Linked DNA regions of Alligator mississippiensis. The protein of the gene in region 1 purifies or fractionates together with the protein of each later gene. This does not show direct contact. Links are inferred from orthologs where the notes say so. Each region holds a gene or a part of one and is shown in the gene's direction. Other genes may lie near its edges.

What was found. The genes of interacting proteins can lie anywhere in the genome.
Region 2: the proteins of BAG3 (region 1) and PDLIM7 purify together in Homo sapiens (affinity purification with mass spectrometry; 3 studies listed by BioGRID and IntAct, counting the BioPlex papers as one, with this or other methods). This does not show direct contact. The link is inferred for Alligator mississippiensis from reciprocal best matches to the Homo sapiens genes BAG3 and PDLIM7.

The regions. Positions count from the first base shown.
Region 1 is NC_081829.1:87,292,384-87,300,516, reverse strand, and holds the start of BAG3 (BAG family molecular chaperone regulator 3), read left to right. Parts: upstream 1-4,990; 5' UTR 4,991-5,061; coding exon 5,062-5,238; intron 5,239-8,133. UniProt on the Homo sapiens protein: Co-chaperone and adapter protein that connects different classes of molecular chaperones including heat shock proteins 70 (HSP70s), e.g. HSPA1A/HSP70 or HSPA8/HSC70, and small heat shock proteins (sHSPs), e.g. HSPB8.
Region 2 is NC_081832.1:79,407,147-79,415,059, forward strand, and holds the start of PDLIM7 (PDZ and LIM domain protein 7), read left to right. Parts: upstream 1-4,838; 5' UTR 4,839-4,941; intron 4,942-5,193; 5' UTR 5,194-5,195; coding exon 5,196-5,300; intron 5,301-7,356; coding exon 7,357-7,508; intron 7,509-7,913. Other genes in the region: probable ATP-dependent RNA helicase DDX41, read left to right, coding at 130-240, 485-621; DOK3 (docking protein 3), read left to right, coding at 2,451-2,975, 3,202-3,295, 3,426-3,598, 3,717-4,457. UniProt on the Homo sapiens protein: May function as a scaffold on which the coordinated assembly of proteins can occur. May play a role as an adapter that, via its PDZ domain, localizes LIM-binding proteins to actin filaments of both skeletal muscle and nonmuscle tissues.

The DNA.
Region 1 (8,133 bases):
TGAGGTTTGGCAAGCCGTCGAGTGCCGTTTGACAGGCAGCTCAGGGCAGGTGCACATTAATTTTCTAAATTTTTTAGGGGACCCGCAGGCTGGATAGAATGGCCTGGTAGGCCGCATCCACCCCCGGGCCACATTTTGCCCACCCCTGCTTTATAACATAAGAGAAACGTCTGTCTGATATGATATAGTACAAAGTAACCAAACTGTTTGTCAGAATTTCTGATGATGCCCTGAAAGACTGGGACACCTTGCAAACAGCCCTGAAATCAAGTACAATTCTATTCAATTGAGACTGCATGAAACTTTGTGTCTCCAAGCAAGCATGTCAGTCTGCCTCAGACACTCGGGCATCAGAGTCTTTGGGTGGACATTGGATGAAACAGAACACCTTGGCAAACATTTAGAGGATCCATCCAGCAAAGGCAAGATGATACCACTTGGTGAGGAACTTGCAGAGGTTGTTTCTGTTTGGCTGATAAATTGTCATCAGCCAACCCTGAAGTGACTATATGTAGCTGCACACATAGAATTACATGAATACAGGCTATCATATGGCCCAGCAGGCCAAAGCAAATTTTCACCATAGTTCCTGGGTGACACCAATGTGAGACATGGTGTGATTCATGGTCAAGCAGTTCTTCAGAGGAAGGAGTGCTGCAGGACGTCGGAACACCTCTATGAATTCTACAGACCGGGTAAGGTCTCATTAGAGATCTAGTTTGGAGAACAACTATAGAAATGCAGAAGTCCTGTTGAACTGACTGACTAAAATCAGCTATTGGTCTAGACAGGAAAACACAAGGAATCCTTGCCTCCTTAGGTAAGTGGCTACTACAGTCATACATTATGCTAGAATTTAGGAAAATTCAAAGGGAATTAGGTAACAAGAAACAAACAACTAAATCCTGTAAATACAACAGGCCAGTGGTGCAAGGATTGTAAACTGATAATAATGTCCCTTGATCATGAACTATATGCTCAACTACAAAACAGGACATCAGTCCCAACATTTTGCCTTCTGCTTACATTATAACAAGCATTAGTTATCTGCATATCTGTTAAGTGCATAAGCTGATTACTCTTAAGTGCACAAGAACAGACACACTGTCTAGTTCAGTGGTCACCAACCTGGGGATCCTGATTTACAGGTACATCTCAAAACCTCTTTTGATAAATCCTTGGCTGGGGGGCAGCTGGGCATGTGCGCACGTGCACACCCACTGCCCCCAGCTTCAGCAGGGCAATATGTGGGGTAGGGAAGGGGCAGGAGCCAGATTGAGCCCCCATGGTAAGCAGCTGACCGTGCGGCCCAGCCAGGAGCAGGGGAAGATAAGTGGGGCCCCAGCCCGGCTGGGTGGTGGGAGGATTGGAGCCTGTGGGGGGTCCTCTAAGGGCACGGGGGGGGGGAGGGACTCCCACCCATTTCTTCAGGGGCGGAGGTGGCAGAGGCTGCCATCACTGTGCCTTGAGCCCTGCTGCAAGGTGGCCACATGTGAGTGCAGCTCAGCTCAGCTCAGCAGCGGGGACTCACATGGGGGTGGCCCTAGTCCAGCTGGGTCTGGGAAGATCTGGTCATTCGGAGGGGGTGTGTGGGGGGGGCTCCCATCGCTGGGCACAGCTTAGCGGAGGCCCTGGGGGCCCATGCCTCTCCCCCACCTGTGCTCGGGGTGCAGCGGGCAGCCCACAGCAGCAGCCGCCTCATCCCAAGCACAGGTGGGGGAGGCATGGGCCCTTGGGGCCTCTGACAGGCTGTGCCCAGCAGCAGGAGCCCCTCCCCACATGCTCCTGGACCACGGAGACTTCCAGACCCAGCCGGGCCAGGTCTCGATGCCACATTCCTCTGGCTGCCAGACGGGTGCAGCTCAGTGCAGACGCAGCACAGAAGTGGGATCGGACCCTGACCCAGCAGGGTCTGGGACACTCTGTGGTCCAGCGATGCATGGGGCAGGGTGGGCGTGTGGTAGATCCTGGGGTGCCCTTTAGTTCCAAAAAGTGATCTTCACCGCAAAAAGCTTGGAGACCACCGGTCTAGTCGGTAAGGCAGCAGTGTCAAAGACGTGGCCCGCAGCGTTCTACCTTCCAGCCTGCGGTACTGCCTGTGGGTGTTAGACCGGCTTGAGGTGGGCTGCCCTGCCCCTGCAGGTGCTAGCCCCAGCCCTGTGCACTGCATGAGGTCCACAGTCAGTCAGAGAATGTGTCACTTATGGTACAAGTGACTTGGTCACTCTGGATTGGCCCCGAGTGCCGGATCTGATGCATGGGGCTGCTCTGTAAGCCTGACCTGGCTTGTGGAGTAGCCCTGCACACCTCATCCAGCCCACAGGGCCAGATGAGTTTGACATGTGCAATAAGGTAACCATACTGCCTTTCACTGCATATATAACGAGGACCCATCAAATGTGAAGGCTTCTAAGGCAGCCAGTCCTGAACTGACAAGGCTCCAGCAATTTCAAGACTGCTACTAAAAGCATAAGTAGGGCTGGACTGTTGTAGCTGTGATAGGAGAAATATGGGCAAAGCAAAATTATTTATGATTATATCTTTTATTGAACCAAGTTAATAAAAGGTATGACCAAAAAACCTGTGTTTGTTGCATTAGAGGAATAAGGCGCTCTGAGAAACAAGGTACCAAGTCATAAAGAGGTGTGAAAAGATTAGCCCCTGCTGTTATTGTACCTAGTGAGTATTGGTTGAGCTTGGATAAATATATGCTCTCAGTTACTGTGTGGGGTTTTTTTTTCCATCCTGAGGTTACACACTTAAATGGAGCACAGGTGGACAGGATGAACTGACATGGAAAAATTACACATTTTACAAGCTAAAAGTTGTGAACCAATCTGTGGGATCTAAGGAAGGGATCATAGAGTGACTGCCTAAAATGTTAAGCATTGGATATACTTATTGAGATATGAGATCTCAAGCTGAACATCATCCACCCTTCTTCCTAATAGAAACCCTAGCCACAAACCTGGAGCCACAAACCCAGTCAAACTAGGGCTGGATATTTGGCTGGTCAAATAAAGTGCACTCAATTTACTGGTCACATATTGGTCAAAAATTGTAAAACAATTGCCAATAGGTCCAAATAATACACAGGAAAAAATTCATTAAGAAATGTCTCAAAAAATTGTATTTCTGTCAAGAAAACCAAAAAAAGTGTTTTTTGTAAAATTGCTTTAATGTTTGACTGGTCAAAAAATATGCAGTCAGTTGACAATATTTGACTGGCTTGTCAATCCTAAATCAACTAGATCATAGTCTTCAAACAGGTGCGTCTGTATCCACAGAGCCATGGACCATAACAAGCCCCTGGAACATGAGACTGTAACTTGGGAGGAAGGCTTACAGAAACCCTCCTGTAAATCGGTGGATCCAATTAGGGCTAACGACTTCCAGTTACCATGGTTATTATGTATTTGTATTTCCACATCAGTTGGGAGCCCCAGTTATGTACCAGGATCCCTTGTGCTTTGTATTTATAGGTAAGTGTGCTTTGTACTTACTATTAGAAGGAGTAGAGGAAAAAAAAGAATAATATTCCTCTAATGATATAACATAGCCTTATGGAGTGAAAACAGGAATTAAAGCCTTAGAGGCAGGTTCTGCCACTTATGTTATTTTCATCTTCAGTCCTTTAGGTTTTGGTACTGATGGTATTAGATACAGCAGAGAAGACAGATCTAGCCAATTATTCAACAAACACCCTGATATGATAAGGTTGTCAGATGTAAATGCAATTTTAGCAGATCAAGTCAGGATCAATAAGAGCATGGGCAGGACAATCTGCAAAGAAATCTTGGATGGAAAAGATTCTGATGCCAACTGCAATGATACCAATGTGGGGATGCCAGTCACCCATGTAGGATGCGGGACTGAGTTAAAAAATGTGCTTCTCCAGACTCATATGCATCATAACACTATAACACAACTTTGAAGACCCTGATCTAAGTGTACCAGCATGATGAGTCTTTGCCTTTTTTGTGACTAGTACTGGGGACAGGGCTCAGTGTCGAATGATGCCTGATCTTTTCTGTCTCAAGCAACAGGTGCCAGGGCCCAGGAAGGCTGACAAGTAGGAAGCCACTTAGCAGCCGGCCTGTCCTCTCCAGGTCTCTTCTCTCCTTTAGGCCGGCGGCATGTCAAGACTCCAGTTTCGCAGAGCTGGATTTTGCAGGCACACCAAGCTCAGACCAGGCACCTAGCGCATCACAGGCCTCCCAGGCCTGCGCTCACAAACCCCCCTACCCAACTGACTGAAGCTATTCTGGGAGATTTTTTTGGCCAACGTCGTTAATTGTACTCATGAACGCCACGTGCCCCCGGAGGCTGGGGGGCCCGGCAAGCTCCCGCAGGTGGCGGCGGTGCTTTTCATGGTTTCATAACTAGGGTCAGGAGGGGCCTGAACAGATCATCTAGCCTGACCCCTCCACGGGCAGGAATGAACGCTGGGCTCACAACACCCCAGACAGGCGATCATCCAACCTCCTCTTGAATTTGCCCAAGGTAGGGGCGAGGACCACCTCCCTGGGAAGTTTTGGTGGCGGTGGCAAGCGTGGGGGGTGGCACAGCGACCACCCGCAGGCCAGTAACAATCGCTGGCAGCGTTGGCACAGGGGCACCGGGCACCTTTTCGCTCAGGGGGTGCACATGCACTCGCCTGCACCCGCTGCACATCGCCAACCATCCTACTGCACGGCTTTCAGATGCATGCCGATCTACCCAGCAAGACAAGTTACACAACCCTGCCTGGCAGAGACCTGGCGGGGGGAGCCATCAGCCGCCGGCTTGTCCCTAAAGCGCAGCCTCCAAAAACAATTGGGGTGGGGGAATGCATTGAAGTTTGAGCGCGGCCGCGCGGCACCGCTGCGGGGCGGGGGGTGGCCGGGCTGGACGCCGCCAGAAGTTTCCAGCCGGGCCGTCTCTCCTCCTCCTTCTCCTCCCCTTCCCCTCCTCCGCCGGCCCCTTTGCGCCGAGCTGCTATTTCCAGACCCTTCCACCCCCTCCCTCCCCGCCCGGCCACATAAAGGCTCCCGGCCGCGGTGCACGGCTCGCACCGCCCGCATGAGCTCCGCCGCCGCTGCCGCCCCGCAGCCTCCCGCGCCGCGCATGGAGGGCAGCGCCGAGCCGCTGCCGCCGGGCTGGGAGATCAAGGTGGACCCGCAGACGGGCTGGCCCTTCTTCGTGGACCACAACAGCCGCACCACCACCTGGACCGACCCGCGCCTGCACGGGCCCCAGGTACCCGGCTCTGCCCTCCGCACTGCGGTGCCCGCCGGCGCCCGCTTGCCCGTGCCGAGTCCCGAGTCCCGAGCGGGTTTAGCCGCCCGTGCAGCGAGAGAAGCGGAGACTTGGCACGGGGTGGGTGGGTTTGTTTCCCCTTGTCCTTCCCCTCCGCCTGGCTGGCTGCGCGGCTGGGCGCTCGCCCCTGCGCTCGCCGCTCCTAATATGTCCATGAGACGAGGAGCCTCCAGAGGGGGAAAGAAACGCGCCTGGGGGGGTTTCTAGGTGTCCTTCCTTGCCAACGGGTCTTTTATTTGTTGTTGCTGCAAGGCAAGTCCCTCTGATGGGAGAAGGCTCTGCCGTGCCAGTGGGGGGTTGCGGGGTTTATGCAGCTGCCAGGAGAGAAGGAGCTGGAAGGAGGTGTTCAGAGACCGGTGACAAAACAGCGGGCGCGTCTCTCTCCCTGTGTTCACCCGGCTTCGTTTTGGGTGCTGATCCCGTAAACTTTAGACTTTTGCAGACATTAGGGCTAGAAGGGACCTCATAAGATCATCCGGTGCGGCCCCGACCTTTGCCCCTTGCCTTTTACTTCTGAACATCCTCTTAAGTAATGATGGTAAAATAGGACTGTCCTGGCATTAATGTCGGTAATGACATTAGTACCGTCTCTGGGACGGGGTAGGACATCGGAGGAAAGGAAGCTCCCAGAGCTGCTTAGGCCTGTGCTGAAAGAAGTTTGGGTGGACGCTTTGGAGCCGCACATTTGGCCGGCAGCCTGAAGGCCTGATTGCTTCAGCTGCCAGGGAAGGTTCCTGACGCTTTGGAAACTAGTTGGAACTTCCAGCTGTTGTCTCAAAATGGTGCGGCACTAGCAGGACGAGGCCTGGAAGCGAGCAGGCTGCTGCCGGGTAGTGAAACATTTGGATCATCATGACATGTGCAAACTATTCTGGCGGTCACTGCTGCTTGGCTGTTTTATCAGGGCCATGGTAAGACTTAGGGCCTCTTTACTGAAAAAGGATTGTTGCCTGGGTTGACACATAAACAGAACCCATTTAAAGCATCTTAGGTTTTTTTTAAATTATATTTGGAAGAGGCCTGGAATGTAATCTGATAAACTAGCCTGTAGAAAGCGAATTTCTTTAGTAACTTTTTTTTTTTTTTTTTTGTATTTGTAGTCTTTCATAATGTAGTTTGAAGTAATAAATACAACAGATGAACACGGCATTTTAAATAATGGAGTAAAGCTAGCTTTTTCCTACCGTTTTGAAAATGTAGATCCAAGAACCCAACAGAAAAGGAATATGGTGCTAGACAGAAGTCAGAGGAAATTATAGTCCTTTTTTCAGTGTTAAGTGACTTCTAACCCCACTGGTATAAATGAAATGACATGGTTCAGAGCCAGCGGGAGGGGAGGGGTTGTGTGTGTTTTGTTTTCGCTGCTTTTTTTTTTTGTAATCTAAAATTTTATTGAATGCGGCAGTTCTACCCCCCAAAAAAATTCATTGCTATCTTTATTTTTGAAAGTTTTCTTTTTCAAAGACATATTGATAAGTATTGTTTAACGTCAAAACAATTGTTTTTTTACACCAGTGTAAAGATATCATAGAAAAATATAGTTCAATAATACTGTTAATATTAAATTAAAAAAAATAGAAATAGTTTTAACTTACCTTCATTCAGAATGCCCTCCTACTGTACAATGTGACCCCACACTGGCACTGCTGCGAGGCATGTAATAAATATTTTAAGTTTTGCGCAGTTTTCAATTGTTTTACAGTTAGAGTGCCTTATTTAATGACTTATGTCCTAAACATGTTATCCCTTGGGAAACTAAAAGGAAAAAGTCTGTATTTCAGCTGTTTTTGATCATGCAGAAACAGGACAGTCTTGAACCAAGGTAGTGGATCAGTGTTCTTCATCTGTGATTGAAACCTAATACGTTCTCAGCCCTATTTTATCTTGGCACCTGGGATAATGAAAAATGACACCTTTCCTGCAATGTTTCAAGGATGCTGTTACAAATAGTAGTTTAGGAAAAGGAAAAACTGTATCTTCACTGAGAAAGATACAAACGGGTAATTGCACCTGCCTCTGAGGAGCAGTTATGAAATGACCAGGTTTTCCAATTTGGAAAATAATTATCTATATTTCACAAACTGTAATTTGTATGCTATGGGTTGTTCATCCTGACACAGGATAGTGCTTTCAAACAAGAAAAGGGGAAGCTGTTGATCTTGAATGCTGTTCTCTTATGGGCAAAACGACAACTTCAACTGATATTAATACATCTTTTGCTTATATAATGTTCTGATACAGGCCTTGATTTGGGTCCATTTCTAAATCTTTGCTTCCATTTAGTTTAGGAGTATTCCACAGTAAGGTACTACTTTGCTTTGAAAAGGTCTCAGAATTTGACCTCAAGAAAATATTTTTTTGTTTTCTGAAGTGTGTGCGTGAGTAAAAGTATCATCCAAAAAAATAATGATTAATCTTTACTTTCACACTCAACTCTACGCACAGACTTTCTGGAGCCACATTTTAATTATGAGCCTTATCATAGTGAATGAAAGGAACCAGATCAGTTGTACAGGCAGGAAGAGAACACTTTTCAGAGTGTCTTCTAGTGGTTTCTTGATATCTAGGATTAACTGAAGACTGTAGAACTGAGATGCTTGCTGTTTGCCCTGCTATAATACAATTAATCCTAAAAGGACAACATGTTAATATTTCAGTGATGCTTTATCATTTTGATAAGTTCTTAAAAGCAGTTAATAAAAACATTGATTCCATGGATTGCCCTAGTAATGATAAAACACAAATTAAAAATTATCCATATCCTTTTCAGTCCTTTTTGAGTGACCTATGCAGTGACTATTTTTTTAAAATTTTTAAATGGAACATAAAAGGCTA
Region 2 (7,913 bases), on another chromosome or scaffold:
GCACTCTGCTATCCTTCCCACCTGGGGCCCTGCTCTGCCCCACAGCCTTGCGTTCAGTGTGCCCTGCACTGCAGGCTCCTTCTGGCATCTGTGCCTGGAGCCTGTGCTGAGCTGCCCTTCTGCCCCCAGACGAGTCGGTGCTCATGGACCTGAAGGCGCTGCTGCTGGAGGCCAAGCAGAAGGTACCACCTGTGCTCCAGGTGCTGCACTGCGGGGATGAGACCATGCTGGACATCGGAGGTGAGAGGCTGCGGGAAGGTGGCACTTCTGCTGCCGTTCTGGCCCTAGGAAGGGCTGCGTCCTGTCCAGGGAAGGGGGCACTGAGGCAGGGGAGGGCGAGAGCAGCTGCAGGTTGCTTGAGCCGTGCACTCTGGCAGTGGCTGCACTTCTGGGGCTGTTACTCTCCCAAGAGCTGCGGGAGCTCCCCCATCCCAGGCAGTGCCCTGCCCCTGCCCGAGCTCACTCATCCTTCTTCCTGTCATAGGGGAGAGGGGCTGTGCCTTCTGCGGGGGGCTGGGCCATCGCATCACAGACTGCCCCAAGCTGGAAGCCATGCAGACCAAGCAAGTCAGCAACATCGGCCGCAAAGACTACCTGGCCCACAGCTCCATGGACTTCTAGGGCTGCCCGCCGGGCACCAGCCCCTGCCCAGATGCTGTGAAGGGGTGGGGGAAGGGGAAGGTGGCTGCTCCCTGGGCAAGTGCCAGTCGCACCAGGAAGGCCATGTTAGCGCCAGGCGGCTGGTCCCTGTGTCTCGGGCAGCCACGCCACGGCCTGCTCCAGGCCCCTGGGGCATGCTGCCCATTCCCTGCTGCTCCAGAGCCGGGCTGCAGTTCTGGTGCTGGGAGGAAGTGCTGTGCCATGCAGCAACAGCCTCTTACATCAGCCCTACTGTTGACATGCTGGGATTGAGCAAGTGGGAGCCTCTGGGCCAGATGCACAGCACCGGCCCAGGGGGATTTGGGTGGGGGGAGCTGGAGGGCAGTAGGGACAGTCTGCTAGCCCAGGCCGCCTCGGCTCGGCCTGGCACAGAGATTCTGCCAGGATGCCCTTGGCCCTGCCAGGACTGTTCCCCAGTCTAGGGGATGCTCAGCATCTTCCTGGGGCTGCTGGGCTGGGCAGGAAGGGGCAGTCCTAGTCCTCAGCACCACCCCCCTTGCCTCAAGCAGGGGCTGTGAGAGCCTGCCTAGGGCAGACTCGCAGCCCCGCCTGCCCGTTCTGCCCCACTGCTCTGCTCTGGCGGAGGCAGGGCCAGCTCCACGGCTCACACGCCAGAAAGGGGAAGTGGATGCAGAGGGGAAGTCTACCCCTGCACTCCTGCGGCAGCAGCCCCAGCTCCCGTGGCCAACGGCTCCACAACCCAGGCAGCTCAAGCCATGGAGGGGCCCGTGAAGGATGGGATCCTTTATGTCCAGCACTTCAAATTTGGAAAGGTAACGGGCAGGGCTGGGCTCCAGGCCTTGCTGGCCAGGGGGAGGGGCGTGTGGTCTCGGCCCCACGCCTGGGTGCCGGGGAGGCAGCCACAACCAGCAGTCCTGGTGCTCCTGACTCTGCTGTGGGTGCTGCCTGCGGCAGGCGCAAAGGGCAATAAAAGCTGTTACAGAGTACAACGTGGTGCATGTGAGTGAGGGGGGCAGGTGTGGAAGCCCCTCGTCTTCCCTGGGGCTGAGCCCTGCTGCTCTGCCGTTGTCCCAGGGTGGGTAGGGACCAGTGCTTGCCAGCAGCCCAAGTGGAATGGGGATGGTGACTGGGGCCCAGTGCCCTCATGTGGCTTGGGTTTGCAGCCAACTACCCCACAAGCACCACGGTCCCTACAGCCGTGGTCAGGGTCTGACCATAGGCAGCAACTGCAGGCGGGCTTTCAAGGCAGAGCCTCAATTGCCTCCTGTCCTGGAGGTGCCAGGTCCCCCAGCAACCTGCCCAGCCCGGGTGCCCTTGCAGGGCACGGGAGATGCTTCCTGCAAGCTGCAACCCTGTGCCTCAGGTTGGAAACGGGTCCGGCCTAGGCTGGGTCGCAGCCCAGCTGGACCAGTGCCAGGCTGGGAGCACGGTGCCCATTGGGGCAGCCCCCATATCCCAGCACAGGTGGAGCGGAGCAGGCAGGTGCAGCCCCCACATGGGGTGGGCAGTGCAGCCATGGCTGGCGGTGCTTCTGGGCCTGTCTGCCCCTTCTCCTCAGCCAGCACGTGGGGATTGCAAGAGGAGGCTGCAGCTGCCCCGTGCCCTCACCTCGTGACCCGCTGGCTGCTGCAGAGCTTCCCCCGGGAGGAAGGGGTGGGTGGTGCTGGCAGGACCTGGCCCATGTGTCAGGTGCAGGGCTGCTGTTGGTCGTGGGCGCAAACAGCCCTAAATGGCCTGATTTGCATAGGGCCTAGGCTGGAACAGCTGGTCCACCCCACCTGCCGGGCCCCCAGGGGCAGCACGAGGCTGGCCGCAGCCTCCCAGCCCGGATGCCTGGGCTGTGTTCTCGGAGCTGCTGGGCCCAGAGGAAGGGCGTGAGATGCCGGCGGGCTGAGCCCGCAGCCCGCAGGGCAGGCGCAGGCTCCAGCTTGAGCAGGTGCTGCAGAGGCAGGGTGCCTGCACGAGGGTCTCCTTTCCCTGCCTGCCGGTGGCTCCAAGCAGCATCCTACCAGCTCCATCCCTGGCCCAAGGGTGCTGAGCCCTGCTCATCTACCCACCCCCAGAGGTCCTGGAAGAAGGTGCGGGCACAGCTGTTCGCGGCTGGCCCGTCAGGCGTGGCCCGCATGGAGCAGTTTGCGGTGCGGGACGGTTCGGGGCCCGAGAAGACATCGCTACGCCGGGGCGAACGCCGGGTGCTCCGGCTGGCCGACTGTGTGTCCGTGGGGCCTGCCGGCAGTGAGGGCTGCCCCCGTGGCACGGCCGCCTTCTGCCTCCGCACCCTGGACAAGAGCCACGTGCTGGCGGCCGAGCAGCCTGACGAGTGGGTGGCGCAGCTCTGCCAACTGGCCTTCCAGGTATGGTGGACCCTGGCCAGGGGGTGGCACAGGCGGGCGGCTGCATCCAGCACCACGGAGTCGTGGGAGGCTCAGGTGGTGCTACAGCCAATCTGCCCCCTCCCCAGCCCCTGGAGGTCCCGTGGTCAAGTCTGTGGACTTGCCCAAGCTCCATGTGTTCCCCCCTCCAGCTCCCTGCAGCTCTGCTCCCCAGGCGGTGGACGCGGCTCACCTCTCTGCTTTTCAGGGCACAAAGGAGATGGCTCCAGGCAGCAACAGGGCCTCGCCCAGCTCTGGCCTCCACATGGAGGAGAACACGATCTACTCGTCCTGGCACGCACGTAGGTGCGGGGGGCTGGTGCCTGCCCTGGCGCATGGGTGGACACGCCTTACAGCCGGTGGGGGGTGGGCTGTCATGCCCTCACAGGAGCCAGGGCTGCAGCGTCAACGTGGGCTCCGTTCCTCCGCCAGCGAACGAGTTCCCAGTACTGCTGCTCCGGACCGAGGCCTCCACCCGCTGCGGCCTGAGCGGGCGCTACCTGCTGGCCGTGCTGCCCGAGCGCCTGGTGTTGAAGGAGCTGCAGACGCGGCAGCCGCTGCTTGCCTGGCCCTATCCCTTCCTGCGCAAGTTCGGCCAGGACCAGGTACCTGTGTGGCCCCACAAGCCTGGCACCCCGTGCCCCACTTCTTCCCTGCAGTGTCGGGGGGGGGGAGGTCCTGGGGCCCTGGCCTTCCCTGCCCCTTACCCCCATCCGCCCACAGGCCATGCTGTCCTTCGAGGCCGGCCGCCGCTGCGACTCTGGTGAGGGCGTCTTCACCTTCAGCACGGGCCGCGCTGCCGAGATCTGTGGTCTCATATCCGCTGCCATCGCCCGCCAGAGGAACCAGGAGCCCTGGCAGCACCCCGCCAGCAGCCCCGAGGGGGCACCATCAGCGTCCTGGGCCCTCGAGGACGGAGGGGCCGCGCCACCCGCCTGGCTCCGGCCCGAGCACCCTCCGCCCCAGCCCTGCTCACGGGAGCCAGGGGCTCCAGACAGGGTGGACCACACCTTCCCCGTCATCTACGCCTCCATTGCCCGGGGCCCGCAGCCCCTGCCTGCTGCCGTCCGGCGGGAGCCGGAGCCGGAGGCCTGGGGCCAGCAGCCCTCCGAGCACCTGTACGAGAACCTGTGCGGCCCGGAGACAGACTGCCCGGGGCGGGGCCTGGACCAGGCGGCCGCGAGCTGGCACCGGAGCTGCCGGGAGCCACCCGAGGGCAGCAGCGGCCCCGAGGCGCCCATCTACGACAACAGCTGCATGGTGGCCGCGGCCCGGAGCGGCGCCCCCAGCCCCGTGCTCCAGCCCCGCTACCAGCGGCTGCAGGACCCGGAGGGGCCCGACAGCGCGGCCCACGGCGAGGCCACGGCCAGCAACGGCCTCCGCCGGAGGCTGGTCACGCTGCTGAGCAGGGAGGCGGCGCCGCCGGTGCCCGGCCGGACCCCCAGCCCCGCGGACCGCGCCTGAGCCGCCCGGCGGGGAGAAGGGCGGGGGCAGCGGCCGTCCCGAGGGCTCCGGCGGCGGGGACCGAGCGGGGGGCGGCGGCGCTTCCCGGCAGGACGGGCCGGGCCGGGCGCGCCTCTCCCGGACAGCGACACCCCGCGGGCTCGGGGCGGCTCCGTGCGGCGCCGGTTCCGGCTTCGGGCGCCGCGACCAGGAAATAAAGGCGGCGCCGGAGCGACGGGCAGCGTCTCCTTGAGCGCGGCGGGGCGGGGCGGGCCGGTAACGCTGGAGCCGGGCGGCGGCCCGGCGGGGAAGGAGGGTCCGGGGGCGCACGCGGGGGCCCGGGGCCCGCAGCCGCGCAAGCGCAGTAGGGGCGGGGCGGGGCCTAGGGCCGGCCCCGCCCCCGAGGGTACATAGGGCCCGGCGCAGGGAGCGCGGCCCGCAGAGCGCAGCGGTGTCGGGCTCGGCTCGTCGCGCAGTGCCGGCTCCGCCCGGCCGGGCCCCGCAGGTCAGCGTCCGCGGGCGGGCGGGGGTGCGCGGGGGCTGCGGCTCCGGGGCGGGGCGGGGCGGGAGCCTGCCCGGCCGGAGCCCCCGGTCCCGCCGCGCCCCGCTCGGAGGAGCGGGGCCGGGGCACGCCGCGGTCGCCCAGTGCCGGCAGTGCCGGGCGCGGTGTCGTCTTACACGCCTCTCATCGCCCGCCCGCGCCTCCCGGCCCCGCCTCGGCTCGCCGCGCCCCGCCGCTCACCGTCTCCCTCCCCAGGCATGAGCGACATGGACGCCTACAAGGTGGTGCTGGAGGGGCCGGCGCCCTGGGGCTTCCGCCTGCAGGGGGGCAAGGACTTCAACATGCCGCTCTCCATCTCGCGGGTAAGCGCGGCCGGCCGGGCCCGCCGAGCCATTGCCTTATAAGCCTCGGAATGCGCCGGCCGCCGCGGCCAGCTGGCAGGAGGGCGGCCCCGGCCCCGGCCCCGGCCCCGGCCCCGCGCAGGCTGGGGCTCGTTGCGGGAGGCAGCTAGCCGAGGGCCCCGGCCCTTCCCCGGGCCTCGCGCAGCCTGGCTCCCAGCTGCCCACGGGGGGAGGCTGTTGGCTGCGTGCTGGGGTCGGGGCGCAGGCGTGGGGGGGCAAGAGGCTGCCCAGGAGGTGGGGTGGGCTGGCACGTCTCGTGCCCACAGAGACACAGCCCCCGGGTCCCCTCCGCAGCACCGCGCCCTGTGCCGGTCTGAGCTTCCTCTGGGGCGCGTCGCTCCCAGCCAGGCCCCTGGCTCCAAGCTCCCTCCAGCAGCCACAGCGCTGCCCTGCCCGGAGCTGGCCCTGCCCAGGAAGGCGGCTGTGCCGGGTGGGCACGGTCACAGGCGTAGCCGAGGCTTCCTTCCTCAGCTCGTTAGTACAGCGCCTCCCAGCCAGCGGGGCCCAGGCAGTGCCCCAGGACCCCCCGACAGCCAGCGGGGACGTGTGCTCCAGGCACTCGTGCTCCTTGCCATGGGGCAGGGGCAGGGCAGGTGCTCTGGTGCGTGCAGGGCTGGCCGCGGTGTGAGCGACGGGGGCAGGTGGGGCAGGCCTGCAGCCCCATCCCAGCTGTCAGAGGTGGCGCTGGGGGCCAGGGAGAAGTGCTGAGCTCAGGCAGGAGAGGATAAAAATACGCCCTAGTCGTCAGCAGGGCTGGGGTCCTGCGGGGACACGGCCCTGCTTCCCCCTGGGCGCTGCCTAGGCCTGTCTCCAGCCAGCCAGGAAGAGCTGGGCAGGGGCCTGGCCGGGAGCAGGATGCGGCTGCAGGGCTGGGCTGAGTGCGCGAGGGGCAGCTCCTCTGCCTGGTCGGGGGGTCCTGGCCACCCGGAGGCCCGGCGCAGGCTTCTCCGGCGCTTGGAGCCGAGAGCTTTCCCGGGCTGGGCTCTGCCATGGCCCCCGGGCCCAGCCCGGCTGGGAGCGAGGGTCTGTGAGCACCAGCATCCCCGCAGGCTCCGGGGCTGGGGCGCGCAGGGGGCGGTGCCGGCATCGCGGGGGCCTTGGCCCGGGGGGAGGGGCCTGGGGGCCGCCGCCGGGATCTGGCTCGCTCCTTTTATGTCCATGTTGAGCCAGAGAAGCATTTGGCTCCAGTCCAGGAGCCTGGAGCTCCCCCAGCCCGGCCCAGGCAGCTGGAGTGAGAGCAGGCCCGGCCGCACTGCAGGCAATGCAGGGGGTAGGGGGTGGCCTGGACCCACACACCCTTCCCCCCCACCGTGCACCCGGCTGAGCCCTGCTGGGCTCCCACCCCAGCCTGCGGCCCCCGCAGAAGATGCTTCTCTCAGGTCCCCGGGGCCGGGGTGGCAGCACCACACGTCTGCCTCGAAGCTGCCCCATCCTGGCCTTGGCCCCTGCCCCTCCGCCCCGGGGCCGAGGCTGCTGTGGTGGTGCCGGCTGGGCTGGACTTTCCCGCGGGGGGGCGGGGGGGCAGCCCCAGCGGGTATCGCTGCTCACGGCTGGGATGAGGTAACGTCTGTCCGCGGACAGGAGATGGGGGAGCGACCAGGGCTGGCCAGGGTGGGAGCGCCTGTCTCCCCCCAGCCCAGACACAAAAGCCTCGGAAATGCCTGTGGTTCAGGCTCCAACAGGCCCGGGCCTGATGCATGGGCTGCGCCGGGACGGCGAAGTTCTGACTCACGCCCGGCTCCCGGGGACGGAGCTGCTCCTGTCTCGGCCGGCAGAGCCGCGGGGGGCGCCTGGTCTCTGTGCCAAGGTGGGGCCTGGCCCGGGCCACAGGCCAGGAAAAAGCCCCCAGGATGTGTTGGGGGGGAGGGGAGGACTGGGAGTAGGTACCTGCCCCAACGGGCCCAGCCCAGTGTCCCCAGCATCAGCCAGGGCAGCAGTGTGGGCACTTGGCTTCCCCGGGGCACGGGGCAGCATTGCTCACTGCCCGCCTGACTCTCTCCCTCTGTGCCCACGGCAGCTGACACCCAGTGGGAAGGCGGCGCAGGCCGGCGTGGGCGTGGGCGACTGGGTGCTGAGCATCGATGGCGAGAACGCTAGCGCTCTGACCCACATCGAGGCGCAGAACAGGATCCGCGCCTGTGGCGACCGCCTCAGCCTCAGCCTCAGCAGGTGCCAGCCCGGGCATTCCCCTGCAGGGCACGGGTGGGGGGTGCTGGGCTGGGCATGAGCAGGGTACGGTAGGGACCAGGGTGCTGTGGCCTGGTGCAGGGGTGGCAGGAGCATGCCTATGGGAAGTTGCAGGCGTGTGTGCATCTGCTGCTGGTAGTAGCCGGCTGGTCAATGGGAGGCTGCGGAGGTCCCTTTGCCACAGCCCCATCAGCTGGGCCCCCACCACCCAGCGCGGCTGTATGCCCAGGGCACTGCCCAGGCCTGGGGCATCCCACCCAGATGTGGCTCAAGCAGGAGCCTGTGTCTGGCCCTCGCTGGGTCCAGCTGGTGGCTTCGCAGCGCAAAGCTGCCTGTGTCCAGGGCACAGGGTAGAGCGTTGCACGCTGGGCACCGTGGTGCTGAGGC